Oryzias latipes: one gene and its partner. The protein of the gene in region 2 interacts with the protein of the main gene of each other region in a pairwise test. Links are inferred from orthologs where the notes say so. Each region holds a gene or a part of one and is shown on either strand. Other genes may lie near its edges. The genes, in order: pleckstrin homology domain-containing family B member 1 and rap1gds1.

Evidence for each region.
Region 1: the proteins of rap1gds1 (region 2) and pleckstrin homology domain-containing family B member 1 interact in binary tests that used the Homo sapiens proteins (3 or more experiments, as listed by UniProt). The two-hybrid records come from large-scale screens. The link is inferred for Oryzias latipes from reciprocal best matches to the Homo sapiens genes RAP1GDS1 and PLEKHB1.

The regions. Positions count from the first base shown.
Region 1 is NC_019872.2:26,516,105-26,524,723, reverse strand, and holds the end of pleckstrin homology domain-containing family B member 1, read left to right. Parts: intron 1-1,788; coding exon 1,789-1,941; intron 1,942-2,922; coding exon 2,923-3,025; intron 3,026-3,108; coding exon 3,109-3,148; intron 3,149-3,223; coding exon 3,224-3,314; intron 3,315-5,004; coding exon 5,005-5,138; 3' UTR 5,139-5,785; downstream 5,786-8,619. Other genes in the region: sc5d (lathosterol oxidase), read right to left, coding at 7,076-7,531.
Region 2 is NC_019876.2:29,303,777-29,312,909, forward strand, and holds the start of rap1gds1 (rap1 GTPase-GDP dissociation stimulator 1), read right to left. Parts: upstream 5,941-9,133; 5' UTR 5,616-5,940; coding exon 5,612-5,615; intron 203-5,611; coding exon 95-202; intron 1-94. UniProt on the Homo sapiens protein: Acts as a GEF (guanine nucleotide exchange factor) for the Rho family of small GTP-binding proteins (G proteins) that stimulates the dissociation of GDP to enable subsequent binding of GTP.

The DNA of each region.
Region 1 (8,619 bases), on a different chromosome or scaffold from region 2:
AACCCTTGTGCTATCCTAGGCACTTAAACATTGGGAGTTGGGTCATCTAGACCCACTAGACAGTGCTCTGAACCTTTTTTCTTCAATGATTTGTGATCTTCACTGGTGTCCATGGATTACATGAAATCTTTCCACCTTTATCCACCTTTGTCATGGTAGGGAGAACACGTCAAAGTAAGGGTGGGGTCATCTAAGATAGCACAAGGGTCAACACTTCCTCCACGTATTATTCTTTTTCCTCCCCCATGTTAAATGTCAACTTTGTGCCACGTCTGGCAAACCAAAGAATCCGTTTCCAGATCTCTATAAACGATATTCATTTTTAAATTATTTTAAACCTAAAGAAGAAAAAAGTAAAAATCATTTTTTTACTTAAAAACTATATATAGTATAATTACATTATACAAATATTAATGGGGATGATATGATTTATCATAAAGTTCCTAACATGAAATATTTCAAAAACAACATTGAAGGAATTTGTAAAACCTGCAAAGTTATTCTAATGGTAAAGGAAACAAAAAGAAAAGAAAAGCAAAGGTACTAAACTTAAATCAGTTTCTAAATAGTTTAATCCCTAAAAAATAAAGTTTTTCATTACCGTGAAGGGGGGGGGGGGGGTTCTAAGGGCAGGGATGTCAGTTTAGTTTAGTTTGTTTAATTAAAGTTGTGGTATTATCCTATTAAATTCTATGCATTTATGAACCTTTTTGATTTTATGTTTAGTTTACAATTACTGGTACAAAATCCACTGAGACGACTGTTGTGAATTTGGGCTATATAAATAATTGAATTGAATTAACTAAGGTTTAAGGCCCCAAACATCAACATCCCTAAAGTGCTTTGTTAAAAAAGGTCATTGGAAGGATCTAAATTAATCTCCTTTGTCACTTGCATGTTCGAAATAAATGAATGTTTTTTTAAACGTAAAACCAAAGCATCTGGATTTTTCACTTGTAAAACACATTTCATCACTGAGCCTTGTGTGTTTTTTTGTAAGTCTGAGTCCATCTCAGCAGTTCAGTAGGACACAGATGAGCTTGTCCTGATGACAAAACAGCCACTAGAGGGCAGCAGAGAGCACACAGCCTCTCAGTTGGCTGAACTTCATCTCAATATAAAGAAAAATTAGGAAGAAAAAAATCAAATATGTCAGATTTTTTTTTGGGGGCAAAAACAAGTTAAACCAAAATGGTTCATAGATCTGAAATCCTAATACAGACTTAAACTTTGTTATAGAAGATATTTAAAAAAACAGTCAATTATGGGTTATAACTCAAATTTATTTAAGAAGTATATATTTTAAGTATATAAAAACAGATGTTACCTAACTTTTTGTCTTAAAAAAAACAAAAAGGCGGCTGTATTTTGGTAACTCGCAGCCTAATATTCTAACAAATGTAGGTCACCTTTAAAGATTTGTCCATCTGACCTTCATGACTATCAGTAATGCTATAAAAAATTTTTTTTTGAAATTTGACTCAAAAGAGCATATATTTTGGAAAATAAAAGGCGTTCCTGTTATGAAACCTTAGCCTTTATAATCCTTTTATTTGTCCTGGCCCATGTGTGTAAGTGGCTTACAAAAGGATCATCAGTGTGAAGGAACTGTTGGAGAAACATTCAAGAGAAAGTCTGTCACAAGAAACTGTGAGCTGAAGAAAGTACTGGAGGCTTCTAATGCAAGCCTGTGAAAGCAAAAACACTACAGATGCACGAAAGAGAGATCCTACCCTCCCAGTTTCCAGCTCCTACAGCCCCTGACGTTGCGCTGCATCTGCTCTGTAGCTGCGGTGCTGAAACGCTGGAAGCTCAACTGGTGTGACCTCTGGATCGATGGGAGTCTGTGCTTCTACAAGACTGACAGCAGGCGGGATCTGGAGCTGCGCGTCAGCCTCAAGATGAAATGTATCGACGTCCGGTCTGGCCTGGAGTGTGGAGGTAAGGCATGGGGACTGGACTGTCAGGCACTTACAGCCTGGCATGAATGATTTAGTGCCGTTCTGTGCAATAAACCTGACATGAGCTCTGCTTTCACCAGGCCTGGAAATGAAAACTACTCCAGTTTTTCATTTGTTATGGGGTAATTGTGAGAACATTTGAGCAGTTTTTGATTGTATTTAATCAAGAGGCCACTTTATTTTTGAATAATACCATGACTTAAAGGGGGTCTCATCCAGACGAACGTTTTTCTATCGTTTCGCACCCTAACTCACCTATCTTACAAGAATTGATCGCAATAAAGGCCAATTCCAAGGCCAAAAAATTGTGCTTTGGGTATTTTTACCACGTTCTTGGGATATTTTTCTAATGGTGGCAGATACATACAAAGAAAACCGACCTCAAAAACTGCATTTTTAAAAAAAATTCAAATAGTTGTGAATCAGGAGCCGATGGAAAAAAAATGCAGTGTAAAAGAAAAAAAATGTGATGTAGCTATATGCTGAGCGGGCCACAAACTCCCTGCTCCAAGCTCTCAGGAACTGGGAGGGGAATGGGGGGCGGGCATTACCCTGCACCAATGGTCCCGCCTACAAGTCAAAGGCAAATTGCAAATGAACTCCTGCTGCTCTGTTCTTGAAAAGCAAATTTTTTTAGCTGAAAACAGCACAATCACAATTAAAAGACCAGTGGAAACAGATTTAAAATAAGTCAAAAGATGATCAGAGTGGGACTTCAACTGTCGGATTTAAATTATCTAAACTTGGGATTAAAGAAAAGAAGAGCACAATTTCTGTACAACAAGTTGGGGAAAAAAAGCAACAAAAGCTGAATCTGAAATGTCAAAACCTCCCTATAAATGTTCTGACAGGTAACTTTGACTGCTGCTGCTCTGCAGAAAAGCAACCAAACGGATCTCTGTAGAACTCTGAACATGGAGCAGGTACCTGAACAAGGTCTGTATTTTTTTTCTGTCCGTAGGGGTGAATCCACCAGAGAGCAGTCCCAGGGAGAATCTGATGGTGCTTCACTTCAGAGACGGTTCAACGCTCAACCTGTGTGCCAACAGTGAAGACGAGTCTCTGTAGGCGCCTCACCCCGCCGGCTCTGCCCTTCCTCTTGGCCGTTCATCCGTCCATCCCTAACACCTCTACGTTTCTCTTTCAGAGCGTGGAAACTGACGATGCTGGACACCAGGAGAAACCCGGTGAGGCCTCCGTTCATGTTTTCTCAGAAGCAGGAGTGTGATCCTCCCAGTGCTAACAGGAGCACTTTGTTTCAGGTGTTCCAGTACGACCCGTATGACGACTCCTACCAGGCCGTTCCTCTCAACAGCTACCACACCGTCTACATAACTCCAGGAGCAGGTCCAGGTACGCCGCCCTCCATGCAGAATAGTACACAGGCAATGGAGAAATACTTCATGGAGGCCATGCAGACGTTTGAAACACAGAAGTCAAAGAAAAGCATCACTGGTGACGAGCAGCAATGTGCAAACATTTCTACAGCGATGGTAGGGTTACGCAAAAGAAGGAAACGAGTCTCCGGGGTCTTCAGGTTAGGGTTGAACATCAACAAGTGTCTCAGAACCATCCCCAAGCTGATGGAGCCAAAAAAAAAAAAAAAAAAAATGGGGGAAGCAGCTTTCTGATGAACCCAGGTGTTCACCAACTCTGTATTAAAGTCTCAAAATTCAGATAAAGTTCTGATTCGGTGTTTACCTAATGTCCTCCATTTATGGTGTACAGATTTTGCGTCGTTGAAGGTTTTAAAAAAAAAAAAAAAAAGCTGCAAGCGGCTTTGTATGGCCCAAAAGAGCCCCCCTCCTGCACTGGATGAGCCGCTGCTGCACTCTCTCCTGGTCATTTATCATGAAAAATGCACTTTTCTTCAGAAGGGCTTCTCTTTTGATGGTAATATCTCGATAGCAGCCATGTAATGTTTTGTTTGCCTCGGGGTGACGAACACTTTTATGTAATTTTTAGAAGAATAAGTAAAAGTACATTTTTTTTTTAACCACACCCACAGTCCTAATATGTTCATATTGTAATTTTTTGTTCAACTTGAACCAAGAATTCATATCGCCTATAATTGTACCCCCCCCTTCCCCCAACCTAGCCTCTTACTGATGCTTAAGGAGTAAAGAGGTGATCGATTGAAGCCTCCTTAGGATCTGATGGGTTCGGTTTAATGTCTGACGCGCTTATAAAATACGCCACAGTCCATTCCGTTATTTTTACGTGTTTATTTACATTTACAGAAATAAATCAGAGGGAGGAAATAATAAGTTGACTTTGTGTGAATTGGGAAAAATGGGTAGAGAAAGCAAAGAAAGCAGTGGTGTAAGTAAAAAAATAAAAAAAATAGTGGTGAACAGAAATAAACAGCCAAGGCTCTCCTTCTCCAGTGCAAATGAGCGGGTGGTTTTCTAACCTTTCATTCCGGTGTTGTCAATTACCAAAATCAGAAAAAGAAAAAAGGTATAACATGCAACACTACTAGGAAAACAAACGGGGAAAGAAACTTATACTTCATTACCTATTTTTTGTGCAAAAAAAAAAAAAAAGTGAAAAGTTGCCAAATTTCACATCTTACCACTAAAGGTCCTGTGGCCATCCCATAATAATTTCAAAACTTCCTTTGAATATTCCCGACACATGTGTTTTGGTTTCGTTTGTAGAATTTTGATAAAATTTTTTGAGCCTTGTAAGAATTTATGGAGCCCCTAAAGGGACATGGACATTAAAAAGAACAAACAAGTAAATTAATAAAAACGTCCCTTTAGGAGCTCCATAGATTACCTCCCGCTGTGATGTCACTATGCCGTAATTCCTTTTTATCAAGTACTAGGTTAACTTTGAATAGTTTTTGAGTGACATTTTTGTTCAAACATGGAGTAAGAAAGAATAATTTAAATAGAAAAATAAACAAATCTGGAGCAGGACGGTGAAGGGCTAAAAATAAGTGTAAAATTCCTCACTTTTGTCATCAAAGTGCCAGACGTTTGTTGGTTAGAATAAATTGAAGAGCCACATTCAGTCCTGCTTTTCTTTTTAAATCAAGGAACTCACCAGGTGGTGGTTCAGAGGGATCCATTTGATGGAGTTGTGGAGAGCGTGGCCCTGGGTCTGCTAGCGGGCGTGGCAGCAGGGGCCGCCATGCGATCCTTCCTCTGGATGCCCCTCTTCTTCTGCTGAGAGGTTCGGCCCCCCCACGCCAAACCTGTAGACCTCGTTCACGTCACCTGACATCGCAGACTCACTTGGAGGATCCCGATTACCTCTAAATCCAAAGCAGCTGTTTGCGGCCTCTTTCTGCTTGTACATATCTGACATCATCACTTGTAAAGCCTGAATTTTTCAGTGACATTTTGCACATTATGAGCTGAAGAATCAGTGTAGTTTGCATTTTTGTTAATCAGTACACTAGAAGTTGCTGAAATAAAGCATAACTTTGCTTCCTCCATGAAAAAAAAACAAAAGTCTTATTCTGCTTGGACACAATCCAAAGGCGGCTGCATCCTTTCAGCTGATTGGCTGGAGCCTCTGGTGTGACGCGACCTTCGGCATGAAAACCTGCGAATGAATGGTGCCGCACGAATTTAACACGGAGCACTCCAGAAGAAAAAACACAAGCTCTACCTTCACATGAGGTCGTTTTGTAGAATTATTTTCAGGGTCAAACAGCGAAGCTGGAGCGACTCCATCACCATGACAACGGAAAACTCCACATGCAGAGGATGAACACAGAGCAACACTTTGTTTAGAAAATGCTTCATTCTGGATTTTAGAACGGCGCAGAACTGCAATCCTGCATCTTCAACGGCATAAAATACGATCTTTTTCAAACAGCCTTTGTGATTTTAAGCTTAAAAAGCCACAAACAAAATGTTCAGAGCTTTAAGTACAGAACAAAGCAAAACTAAATGTGTCGAAACCCTCCGGACTCTGAACGTTTGTCAGATCCTCTTAGGATTCACGGAGCCAGCTGGTCTCTGCTGGAAGAATCTCTGGTCCGAACCACACGGGGTGAAGCCGCTTCTGCGTGGCTCGACGTTCATCCGTCTTTACTCCAGGCGCTAAAAACACGTCTGCAGATGAAGATCTGCTTCCACACACATTAAGCTGCTTCGTCTCGTTGAATTTAACATCAAATCGCTGCGTTGAACAGCTGAACTTCTGGATTATTTTCATCTCCTCAAAGAAAGTTGGAAATTTTAGACGTTTATTTAGAATTTTACAAAGTTTGAACACAGATTGTACATTTCCTATGATCATTATTTAACCCAAAAAGCAGCTTCCAACTCAATGTTGAGTCGTCCTCCTATGATGCTTTGATTTTATTGGTGAAAAATGAAAACAAATGGCGACGTGCAAACATTTTATAACAGGTATGTAAGATCCGTTTGTGGTTGTGATCCGTATAAAAGTGCATTAATAATACGTGGTGGCAAATCTGACTTTCAGACAAAAGCTGGAGGGTTCTGCATGTCTGACGGAACGGTTCCCGATCGAGACACCGTCAGCAGAATCTGGTCTGAATAGACATTTAAAGAACGTTTCGTTTCATTTAGGGACCACAGGCAGAACCAGAGGCGTATAGTTGGATGTTTAATTATCTGCAGTTTAGAGCTTTTTGCTTTAGGGAAAAAAAAAATATCAAATGTTCACTTTGTTAGCCAGTCTGGGAGGCAGAGTGCAAAGTTTGGCCAAAAAAAAAGAAAAAAATTAAAGAAGAAAGCAAGTGTTACATCTCCTCTTCAGCACGGTGGTGAAAGTGTTATCATTTGGGGTTTTTTCTGCAGTAGAGAGGTCAGTCAGTTAATTTTTCCCCCCTGCAAATTAAAAACTGGCTTTGCGATGAGACGAGCACATGGAAAAATCTGCAAAGCGAAATGACTCGAACAAATTCAGGCCCTCGGGATGAACAGAAGAAAGCTGAAGGCAGACGAACGGCTGGAATGAAAAGTGCTGCCGTTTACCCGAGCTTTCATTTTCCATCCTGCTATTATACGACTCTGACCCCGCCCCTCATAGAAGGAAACATGGCAAACATGAACTCTCAGACCCGCCTTTACGAGCGTAGCGCATTGTCTCTGTGAATGGCGTTCATCGCTGACTAGCCCCGCCTCCTTTTACTCGTCTTTGCGTCCGTTCTGCGTATGTCCGCTGGCGTGCTCTTTCGTCTTCCCCCGGCCGCTCAGCTTCCCTTCTGCCTGGAGTCTACGGACCACTTCCAGAGGACCCTTCCCCATCAGCGCCGACGGGTGCCTGTAGGAGCCCCCCAGGCGGTCCCACAGCGTGAAGTACTGCCCGTAGTTGTAGTCGAAGAAGAGGTGATGGTCGGTGTGGTGGGCGGAGCCGTTGATGACGCTCGTGAGGGTGTCGGGGACGCGGTAGTCGCCGTCGTGGATGGAGATGGTCCAGATGTTGACGAAGACGTAAAGGAGCAGGTAGAGAACCTTGTGGAGGGGGAAGAGGAAGGGGTAGATGTGGTAGGGCAGCCCCTGCAGGAAGCCGTCCACCGGGTGGAAGGCGTGGCTGGCGAAAGGGGTGGGGATCTTCCAGATGTGGTGCGGTTTGTGGAAAAGCTGATGGAAGACGAGTGGACAAAAAAACAACACATCCGTTCATTCAAAAGACGTCAGCAGCCTCAAAGAAAAGCAGAGGAAGACAGATTTTTGTTCACCTGAAAAATGTAAATGCTACAATAATTGACCGTTTAAGACATCAAGAGGCTGCAAACAATTTTTAGGTCTTTGACCCCTAAAGAAAAAGTTAATTTAGCATCAGAAGAATAAAAAAATTAAGGCTTTATTTTTCATTAGGGGGATCGGTTTTGAGTAAAACCTTCAGGAGTTTTAACTCTTAACCAGAAGGAGCTGCATTTCCAGAAGAAGATGCAGGGATGAATAGTTCTGAATAAAAATGAAACTTTAAAGGGAAGAATTGGCAAAAAACAATTATGTCTTTTCTTATGTTTAAGATTGAACATATTTGAGTCCTTCTCAAATTTAAGTAATTATTCTAGATTTGTAAAACTTTATGAACTTTAGTGATTCTTAATAGAAAAACCGAAATATCTTCAGCTGTAGGTAAAATCCACAAAACCAAGAGAACAGAGTAGGAAATACTTGCATATTCTATATTCAACATTAATTCTTTTATACGTAACAACAGTAATGTTGTGAGAATTTAAGGAAATACTTTGATGAAATTAATAAACTTCCCAAAAAAGCATTTCATAGAAATAAGTGAGTTTTTTGGGACTCTTTGAGTGCACTATTTAAAATTGGAATTTGTGGACTTCTGGTCATTTAAGAGTGTTGGAAAGTTTGCTTTGTGTCTGTGCGGCACTATGTAGCGCCCCGAGTTTTAAAAGCAATTGGGACACCATGCTCACTATTTTTGTTTTTTAAAGGGCGCATATGACTACAAAGCTAAAATCTCATAAATATGAGCGTTTCCGACGATTATTTAAGGGTCCACTGTCTTCTGAAGATAAAAATATTGATGGTTTATTAAAAAAAAAACATTTAAATACATTTGTTTTGGCAAAAATTGTTCCGACGCAATGTATTGTGGTCTATATTCGCCGTACTAGTGAGCATAGATGCACACTGGTTTGTTGCAGAGACTTCTGGGATATTTCTAGGGCCCTGGATTTTGGAATTGTAGA
Region 2 (9,133 bases):
TTCCTTTAGATCACATGTTCTGAAGTGGCTGCTCTCAACGTCAAAAACTGGCCCAAAGATTTCTGGCTGACCCGAAAGAGCGTTCTGTACTCACTGCTGCTGGCGAGCGCTTTCAGTAGACAGTCCAGGCAGATGTCCACGCCGTGGGCGGTGCCGTCGCCGGACGCCAGCTTCAGCTTCTGCAGGGCTTCAGTCAGGTTGTCTGCAAACACGAGTGAGGCTTCACATTATCACCACGTAAACCGGACCGCACTGTCATGGTTTTTCTAATTACCCCAGTCTGCTGCGGGACCCATGAAGTCTGAGCCATCCTACCTATAAGAACGCCGTTTATTCTAGTGGGAAGAATACAATAAAGTATTCAACCTTCGTTTTCCTGTTTCTCTTTCTTTATTCTAGTATCTTCCTCCATTTTTTGCTGCTTAACTCCTCCTGCAATGTTTCATCTATTCTAAACATCCAACTATTCAAATGTTCAGCTCTTTCAGCTTTTTCCAGCTATGACTTTTGGTCCTTCAAATCCTTTGAACTTTTCAAGATATTCCAGGATTTCTCCCTCCATTGAAATACATGGAGAATCCTTGGTTCCTTGCTTGACTCGGTGTGGTGGTTAGCGCTCTAGCCTCTGGAATTTGCGTGTTCTTCACGTTCATGTGTGGGTTTTCTCCAGCTTCCTCCCAGAGTCCAAAAACACGCTTGACTGGCGTTTGTACATGTGTGTGTGGTTGTGTGTCTGTGTTTGGTTGTGTGTCTGTGGGTTTGGTTGTGTGTCTGTGGGTTTGGTTGTGTGTCTGTGATGGGCTGTAGCTGGGTGGTTTCCAGCCTCTCCATGACCATGAACAGGAAGTGATGGCTGCAGGGACCAGCCTTTCCCGCTTACCCAAATACATTTAGCAGCAAAACTGTGGCTCATCGTCTTTGTTCTAGAACTAAAGCGGATCCCTTTCCTCTCCTTAAGGTAGCTTTGATCTAATCGAAAGTCATTTGTTTCTCAGTAATTACTGGAAGCTGTAATGCACTTCTACAGAAACTATCATTGGAGGTGGAGATTCTTAATTGAATCTGAGATTTTACATCAATTATTCAAACTGGAGAGAGACAGTGGATGATGGACTCTGGGTAACTTCCAAGCTCCAAGAACGGACTACAACATTCAACAACACATGAGACTTCCATGTGTGCTTGTTGGGATGTTTGTCTACCATGAGCTTTGGGACCAATGACCGTCATTTTTAGTTTTGTATAATGTGTCAGTGTCAGACTTTGCCTGTTTCCTCTATCATAAAGCGGTCTAAGGCTAGCATTTGAATTTGAATGATTTGCTGTTATGAAATGTATTATTGTTGATGTCGATATGTTGCTATGTATTTTGATATGCTGGTATAAAAATGAAATTGTTTTAACTTATTTTAACATGTGAAGATTTTAAGGTAAATATGATGAATTAGTCACTGTATTTTGTGAAATCAGTTTTGTTTTTTTTGAAATTGGTAAAATGTATGTATTTTTTGCGTATGGACCCCAGGAAGACTAGCGACCACTTTGTGGAAGCTAATGGGGCTCCAAATAAATAAATAAATAAAAATGGGTGACAGGTTCAGCTGAAATATGTGGATTGTTGGAACACTTAGTCCACTCTTTGTTAAGAGACTAAGAAAAAATTGGAGATGTAAAGGACACAGACACGCATAGGAAAATGGATCTAGGTATGGTCAAAGGCAGATCCTTTTATAGCACTTTAGTACCTTGGTTGACCAACACTGGCACCGACCTATAACCACCAGGAGCAATGTGGGGTTCAGCGTCCTACCAACCGACACTTCATCCCATGGGTGGGCAAGGCGGGAACCAAAACTACCATGTATCGATCAGAGGTCGACCACCTTACCTCAGCACCACGGCGGCCAGTTCTGACAGTAACAGTGGAATCGGTTGAAATAGGCCGGCACAATAAATCGCAAATTTATCATTATCGCGATATCAAGCTGTGCAATATGCATGTCGCAAAAGACGGCGAAAATTGAAATAAATGGTTCCCTTAAACGGGCTAAAACAATCTTATGGCAGCTTCAAGTATTTAACCAATCAAATATATCCTATATGCATTTGACCAATGGGATGGACACCTTCACGTGTTGACCAATCGGATGGAGCCCTATTGTGTTAGATGTTCACCTACTATGTAGACAATGGTCATTTGAGTATGATTTTTAAAATGAAAGGGAAATTATGTTTTTGATTGTTTTACTATTTGTTCCTGTACCGTAAGTTATATTGTCATTGCAATATTGATCACTAATGTCACAAGTTTTCCTTATATCGTGCAGCCCTAGGTTGAAACCAAAGATATGCAGAAGGTTGTGTTGGTAAGAAGGAAATAAATGATCAGTTTCTGGTAAACGCTATCCGTCTTTTTATGGACGTGTGATGTAAACACAAAGACATCCAATCACAGGCTTCCTTTTACCAAGTCGGGTCAATTCCAATTGGCTGAAGGTGAACCACAGGGAGGGTTGTGTGTTCAGGAAACATTAAAAACATGTTTTCACAGCACTGACCAACAACACGTGAAGAAATACACTTTATTTTAACACAAAGAGCAAAACGGTCTAAAAGACCCAAAAAATCAGGTTTGAATGTTTGAAGCTGTTTTGTTGATTAAAATAAAGATTACAAAGAGTTTATCTGTTAAAAGACATTTTTACTTATAGTCCCAAATAAATTATAAATCTCTAGATTGCATCTCTTTAGGTAGAAGAATGTAACGTTTCCACCATAAAGTTATTCAATCTTTGGTTGGTGGAGCCTGTATGAAGATGAGGACAGAGTCATGTGACGGAGAGAAATATACGACCCTAGAAAAACACACGCATGATCTCCCTCGGAAACGTTTCCTACTGCGGGAAGCGTCGCTGTAGATGCAGTCAGATGTAGGTTAATGTCAGAGGCTCATCTTCATCATGGCAGGTATATATTTATATCACAGCCTCATCTTCATCATCGTAATCGTCATCATGGCAGGTGCAGGGCTCCAGACTGCGAGCAATTGGTCGCATTTTGCGACCAAAATTTGAGAGTGTGCGACTGAATTTTACATCCAGTCGCACATGTGCGACCAGTAAATTTGCCTCCCCCACCCTCCGTATTTTTTTATACATTAAACGTGGAAGGGGCACGTCAATGATCGATGAAATAATCAATGAGACGCAAGCCCACACGCACGCAGGCAGACACACACACTCGTGCACATACTCATGAAACGCGAGCACGTACACTCTCGAGTGATGCCCATCTGTGAGGCGGCCACTGCGTGTGAGAAGAATAGGGAAAGCCACTGTGAGTGGCTAAAATGCGTGGAGGGGGAGGGGCCTAGAGATAGAGTGCTCGTAAACATCTGTGGGAAGGAAACGGAGACAAATATCACAACCTGATATGTGCGTCTGAACTATGAGCAAGCGAACTATTGATTCGTTCTTCCGACCTGCGGCTAGTGTACCAGTGCCAGAGTGTACAGCAGGGGTCTCAAACTCGCGGCCCGCAGGCTATTTGCGGCCCCCAAGATGATATTTTGATTGATCTATTTTGATGATACTTAACATGAAGGTTTAATGTTACTGCAGCCCGCCAGTTTGTATGAATGACACTTTTTCATTGTCGTGCGCGGAGCTGACAAAGCAACCAATCACAGTGGGGTATATGACTCTTGGGGGCGTGGCAATGACCGGGCTTGAAAGCAGGAAACCTGACAGCCCCCTCCCTCCCCGGACCACATTAAGGAGTTCCTTACTTTCCTTTAGAACGTATTTATTCGCTTGTAATTTTCTAAATACATGCAGTCAGTGCTGAACTTTTCTCTGGGCCGCACAGACCTGGAGGAAGGTTTAGTGTTTCGGTTACGGTTACGGCGGCGCATCAAACGGTTATGCACGGCCGTTACGGCAGCACACCGCTCCCGTCCCGCGGGAGTCGGGTCAGCTGAGGAGAATAAATGTCCCACACCTACATGCGTGACAGCTAACGGGGCTTGAACTTTAAACACGCTCCAGCAAAAACAACATTAGTTTTAGACACACTGAAAATACGTGGGGAAAATGCAACGATAGACGTGTTTGAGTTGAACCGACACCTCACCTGGATCGTTTGGGGGGCGGGGGGGCTGTGAGATGAAAGCGAATCTGCAGCAAGACTGAAGGAGAACAGGAAGTTGGAGTTGTCCTTAACATTCAATTTAGTTTTAATATTCTTCTCCCCCTTAGTATGATCTGTGTTATTATATATTTTATGATTATTTTAATGTTTTGTGATGTATGTAGCCTTTTTAATGAATTGGTATTTTAAATTATTTTAATTAATCACTCCACTACAAAAACCATCAGGACACATGTCCCATAATGCATTGTTTTGTAGTCTGTAGGGCAGCTTTCAGTCAGTTCAGTTTCCAGCTGTGTCCGGGTAGGTTTGCCCCTTGCTCCCACCCCTTTCTCCTGATATTTTTGTGATGATTGACAGGTGATGTTGGAGCAAAAACAAAAATATATGTCACACACCAGGTGATCTGCACAGCGTTGAGTTCACCTGGGTGACCTCAAACACACTTACTGTGCCGCTTGGCTGCACCTATTTGGTGTCACAAAGATAAATATCCATCCGTTTTCTTAACTTATTTGTACTGTCATGACAGCGATGGTGATGTCAGTTTACCTTCTTGTTGCATCTTCAAAAGTGAAGAATAAAATGTGACACTGAATTAGAAACAGCACATTGTAATTTCTGCATCTATTATTAAAGTATTTATTAGTAATACAGTGGAAATTTGTAGATTTGGTTAGAATGTTGATTTACGGTATGCGCCCCTAAATTTTCTGGTTGTGCCCCTAAAATTTTCAGTTAGGGGCCACAGTGCTCCTAGTGAAAAAGTTAGTCTGGAGCCCTGAGGTATATGTTTATATCATCATCATCATCTTCATCATGGCAGGTGTATGTTTATATCAGAGCCTCGTCTTCATCATCATCATCATCATGTCAGGTGTATGTTTATTTCAGAGCCTCATCTTCATCATCGTAATCATCATCATGGCAGGTGTATGTTTATATCATCATCTTCATCATGGCAGGTGTGCTGCTAAATCCTGAGCCTCCCTGCAATTATTGCATAAGGATCCACAAAGTGTTGCAGTGACCCGATTATTGCTGCCAACAAACCATCCTCCTCCTCCTCAGTCTCTTCCTCACAGACGGTCTTATATAAACTGCCCGTCTGTCGCGGGGGGGCTGCAGCGTGTCGGAGGATGCACAGCGGAGGAGCCGCATCAGTAAGCGGGGGGCGTCCGCAGTGTTGCAGCGGGAGCAGCTGCGCGTTGCAGGCCGCTGACATTACATAACAGCTGCGGGGACGGGCCGCCTTCAGTTCAGCCGCCGTGTCCCCGGAAAACATGCTGCAGGAGGCGCGGACGGGCGGCAGGGAGGCACCCCGCCCAGCCGCCGCCGCTGAGCCCCCGACATGCCCCCCCCAGCCCGCTGAGCCCTCCAGGGCTCGTTTCTGACCACCATCGTTTAGGTTTTTTTCTTCAAGCTAACCGTCTCCGGCATCCCAGCTAGCCGTCCAACTTACCCATCTCCGCGGAATGAACCCTCGTCGGGGGGACGAGGGTGGTTCCGTAAACCGAGAGTCGAACCCGCAGGAGTCCGCGCCGTTCGGCTCCCGCTCTGCTGGTCAGGCTGGCGCGTGGAAGCTAACAGGTTAGCACGACAGCTAGCTCGGAGCGCCGGCGGGCGTCACGGACGGTGGAGTCCGGCTGAAACAAACGCTACTCCGCCGCGGCCTGTACACCAGCGGCTGCTAACGCGTCCCACCTCCTCTCATATCCACGGTAACGGCGGACGGGCTAGCGGCTCCGCTACAACTGGCTCCGACTGACGGCTGCAGTCAACCGGAGATCACTTCCGGCCCAACCTTCAAAATAAAGCAGCAAATAAAAAAAAAAGGTAAAGTTTGTAGTAGTCACAGATCACCAGCAGGGGGAGTTAGAGAGAATTTTTTAATCTGGTGTCATCACAAAATACCAGAGAGATAAAAAGATTTACTTACAAATATCAATTTATAACCATCTCCACAGTCAGTTCCTTTATAAATCATTTCAAGAAAACGTATTGCATAAAATAACCAAAACACTCGGCAAACAATACAATATAAGCGTCACAAAACAGCCTCTTGAGTGTGTGTCCATGCATAAACTCCAATATTTATGCACAGTTGGAAACATATCTATTCATTACACTTGTGAGCGCATACAGTAGTTTATATAGATATCGCTGTCCGACAACAAACTAGAATTCAGGTGCAGACTCCATTGTCTCTAGAGGCAGAAGGATGCCAGAGAGAGACTTCTATTAGATAAATATACACATTGGATTTATTACAGACTTAAAATCCGATCATTAAAAAAAACTCACATATGCAATACAATAAAAGATGCAGTTCCAGGAGTACAAAAACTAAAAATGATAGAAAACATTATCAAAAAAGAGCAATAAAAAAAGTCAGGATTAAAAATATACAACAGATGTAAATATGATTTAAAAAAGTAATTATTTTAGGCCTAATAATAATAATTATCATAAATAACATTTACAGAGCTTTCTCAAACAAGAACTATTCATCTTTTGATTTTTGTTTGTAGTTTATGGTGTTTTATTTCTTTTTTGTTTTAACCCATGTTTATATTTTATGTCAAGCACCTTGTGCTGTAAGCATGGAAGGAGTTTAATAAATTAGAACACTGATCAGTGGATACTATTAATATTATTATTAATAATTATGTGCACATACGCACACACGCACTGAAGGAGGAGGGTTTGGGGAAGAGACAGAGGGAGCTAAAATTGTGTGCCTTGTCTAGGCTACCCCACCTTGGTGGGACACAGCCTTGGTAAATAATAATAAAATAATAATTAATAATTATTATACCACCATAATTAAGTATTAGCTGAATATTGATACTTCAGTTCAATAGGTGGGTCATCCTGTAAATAAAACAAATGCAGTTCATTCTCTTTATTTTATGGGTAAAATGAGTCAGTTAACAGGACGGACGGACGGACGGACAGACGGACGGACGGACAGATAGATCTTTATTGTCACTGTCTGGTCGGTCCTACATTCATCCATTTAACACAAAAAGGTTAAAAGAACTTACTGAAATGATAAATAATGCATAAAACTACATAAGTGCTTCAATATGTGTTAAAATTGTTTAACAGAGAATTAGTAATAATAATAAAAAAAATAATTAATATAAAGAAAGCTCCCAAAACTAACACAATTTATACAACAAGATGCATGTTTAACATTTTAGGGCAGTCGGAAAGAAACTATTTTGAAAGATTACATTAGACCAGATTACACATTACACCATCCAGAGTTACACATCAAAAAAAAAAAATCACATTCAGAGTAAAAGAGGTGGACTTTACCAACGCTGCTGCTGGTGTTTCTCTGCTGCTGCTGCTGCTTTGTATATGTAATGGAGTGTTGGAGTCTCATCTTTGCTTGGCCTGGTGCGGTAGCAGAGGTGGTCTGTGGGGCAGTGCCATTGACACAGGTTATTAAGGGTCTGTGGGTTCTTCAGACAACCACAGTTCAGTGTTTTCCGATCGAGCTGAAGAGGGCAGATAAAAAACACAACAGCTCTGATGTCACTTGCCCACTGCCTGATCTCAACCCCTCCTGAAGCTAGACACTTCCTCATCTCCTCTACAAGCTTCTCAGCCGACTCAGCCATAGAGAGACTTTGTAGGCGTTATCCACATAGAATGACTTCTCAATGGATGGAAGGATGTCTATGCCATCTTTAGTTGATCTCTCCAGTCTTTCTGGAGGGCAAAGATCACACAGCATGGACTGCAGGTGTCACAAACTGGTGGTGGAGGACCCAAATGCAGGAGACCAAGCTTGATGACTGGAACTAAAACATTTAATTAGCAAACTGAAACATGACAAAACTATGAGGGGAAACAAAACTGTGACAAAACAGAGCAGATGACCTGACAAGGAAGAACAGAAACCAAGACACTTAAATAGGCTGAGGGCAATTAACTGAACTGAAGACAGCTGTGGATCATGAACCTGAAGGTGTGACTGACAAGGAAACCAAAAACATGACAAAGAAAACCAAACCACTGAATCCTTACAGTACCCCTCCCGAAAAGGGCAGATCCCAGATGCCCAAAAACCCCTAGGAGGAGGGGACCTGGAGGAACAGAAAATGAAAAAACAAGTCCAGAACGGTTTGGGTTCCTGCAGCCAGACGGAAGTGAGGGGCATCAGAACCCCTTCTGTGAACAGGCATGAAGATTAGAAGTCCCAATTGCTCTCTCCAGGGACAGGAACCATTAAGGGGAGCAGCACTGGTGACCCTCTTCTGGACCAGGTGACACAGCCAAGGGGGAATGGTGACCATCCTCCGGGACAGGGGACATGAAGTGTGGGCCCGGCGACCCTCCTCAGGAACAGACATGAAGAGGAGCGGCCCCGGTGACCCTCCACAGGAAACTTGATGCTTGAAAGATGGTCCCGGCAATCCCCCTCAGGAACAGATAGGCTTGATGTGGAAGGGCATAGCATGAACAATGCTGCAGGAACTCATCTGGCAAGGCACGGAATGGGCATGATGGAAAACTCCCCTGCTGGGTCCAAGCTGGTCAGGTCATTCTGTCACGAACTGGTGGTGGAGGACCCAAATGCAGGAGACCAAGCTTGATGACTGGAACTAAAACATTTAATTAGCAAACTGAAACATGACCAAACTATGAGGGGAAACAAAACTGTGACAAAACAGAGCAGATGACCTGACAAGGAAGAACAGAAACCAAGACACTTAAATAGGCTGAGGGCAATTAACTGAACTGAAGACAGCTGTGGATCATGAACCTGAAGGTGTGACTGACAAGGAAACCAAAAACATGACAAAGAAAACCAAACCACTGAATCCTTACAGCAGGTTGTACCAAATGGTGGTACACACCATTGGTAAATATCAGGTGATTCTTCTCATCTCAACAATGGTCCATCTTCGGGGAGTAGACAGACTTGGTGGAACATTGCCTTGATCCTCCTGTTTCTCCCTCCCAAGAT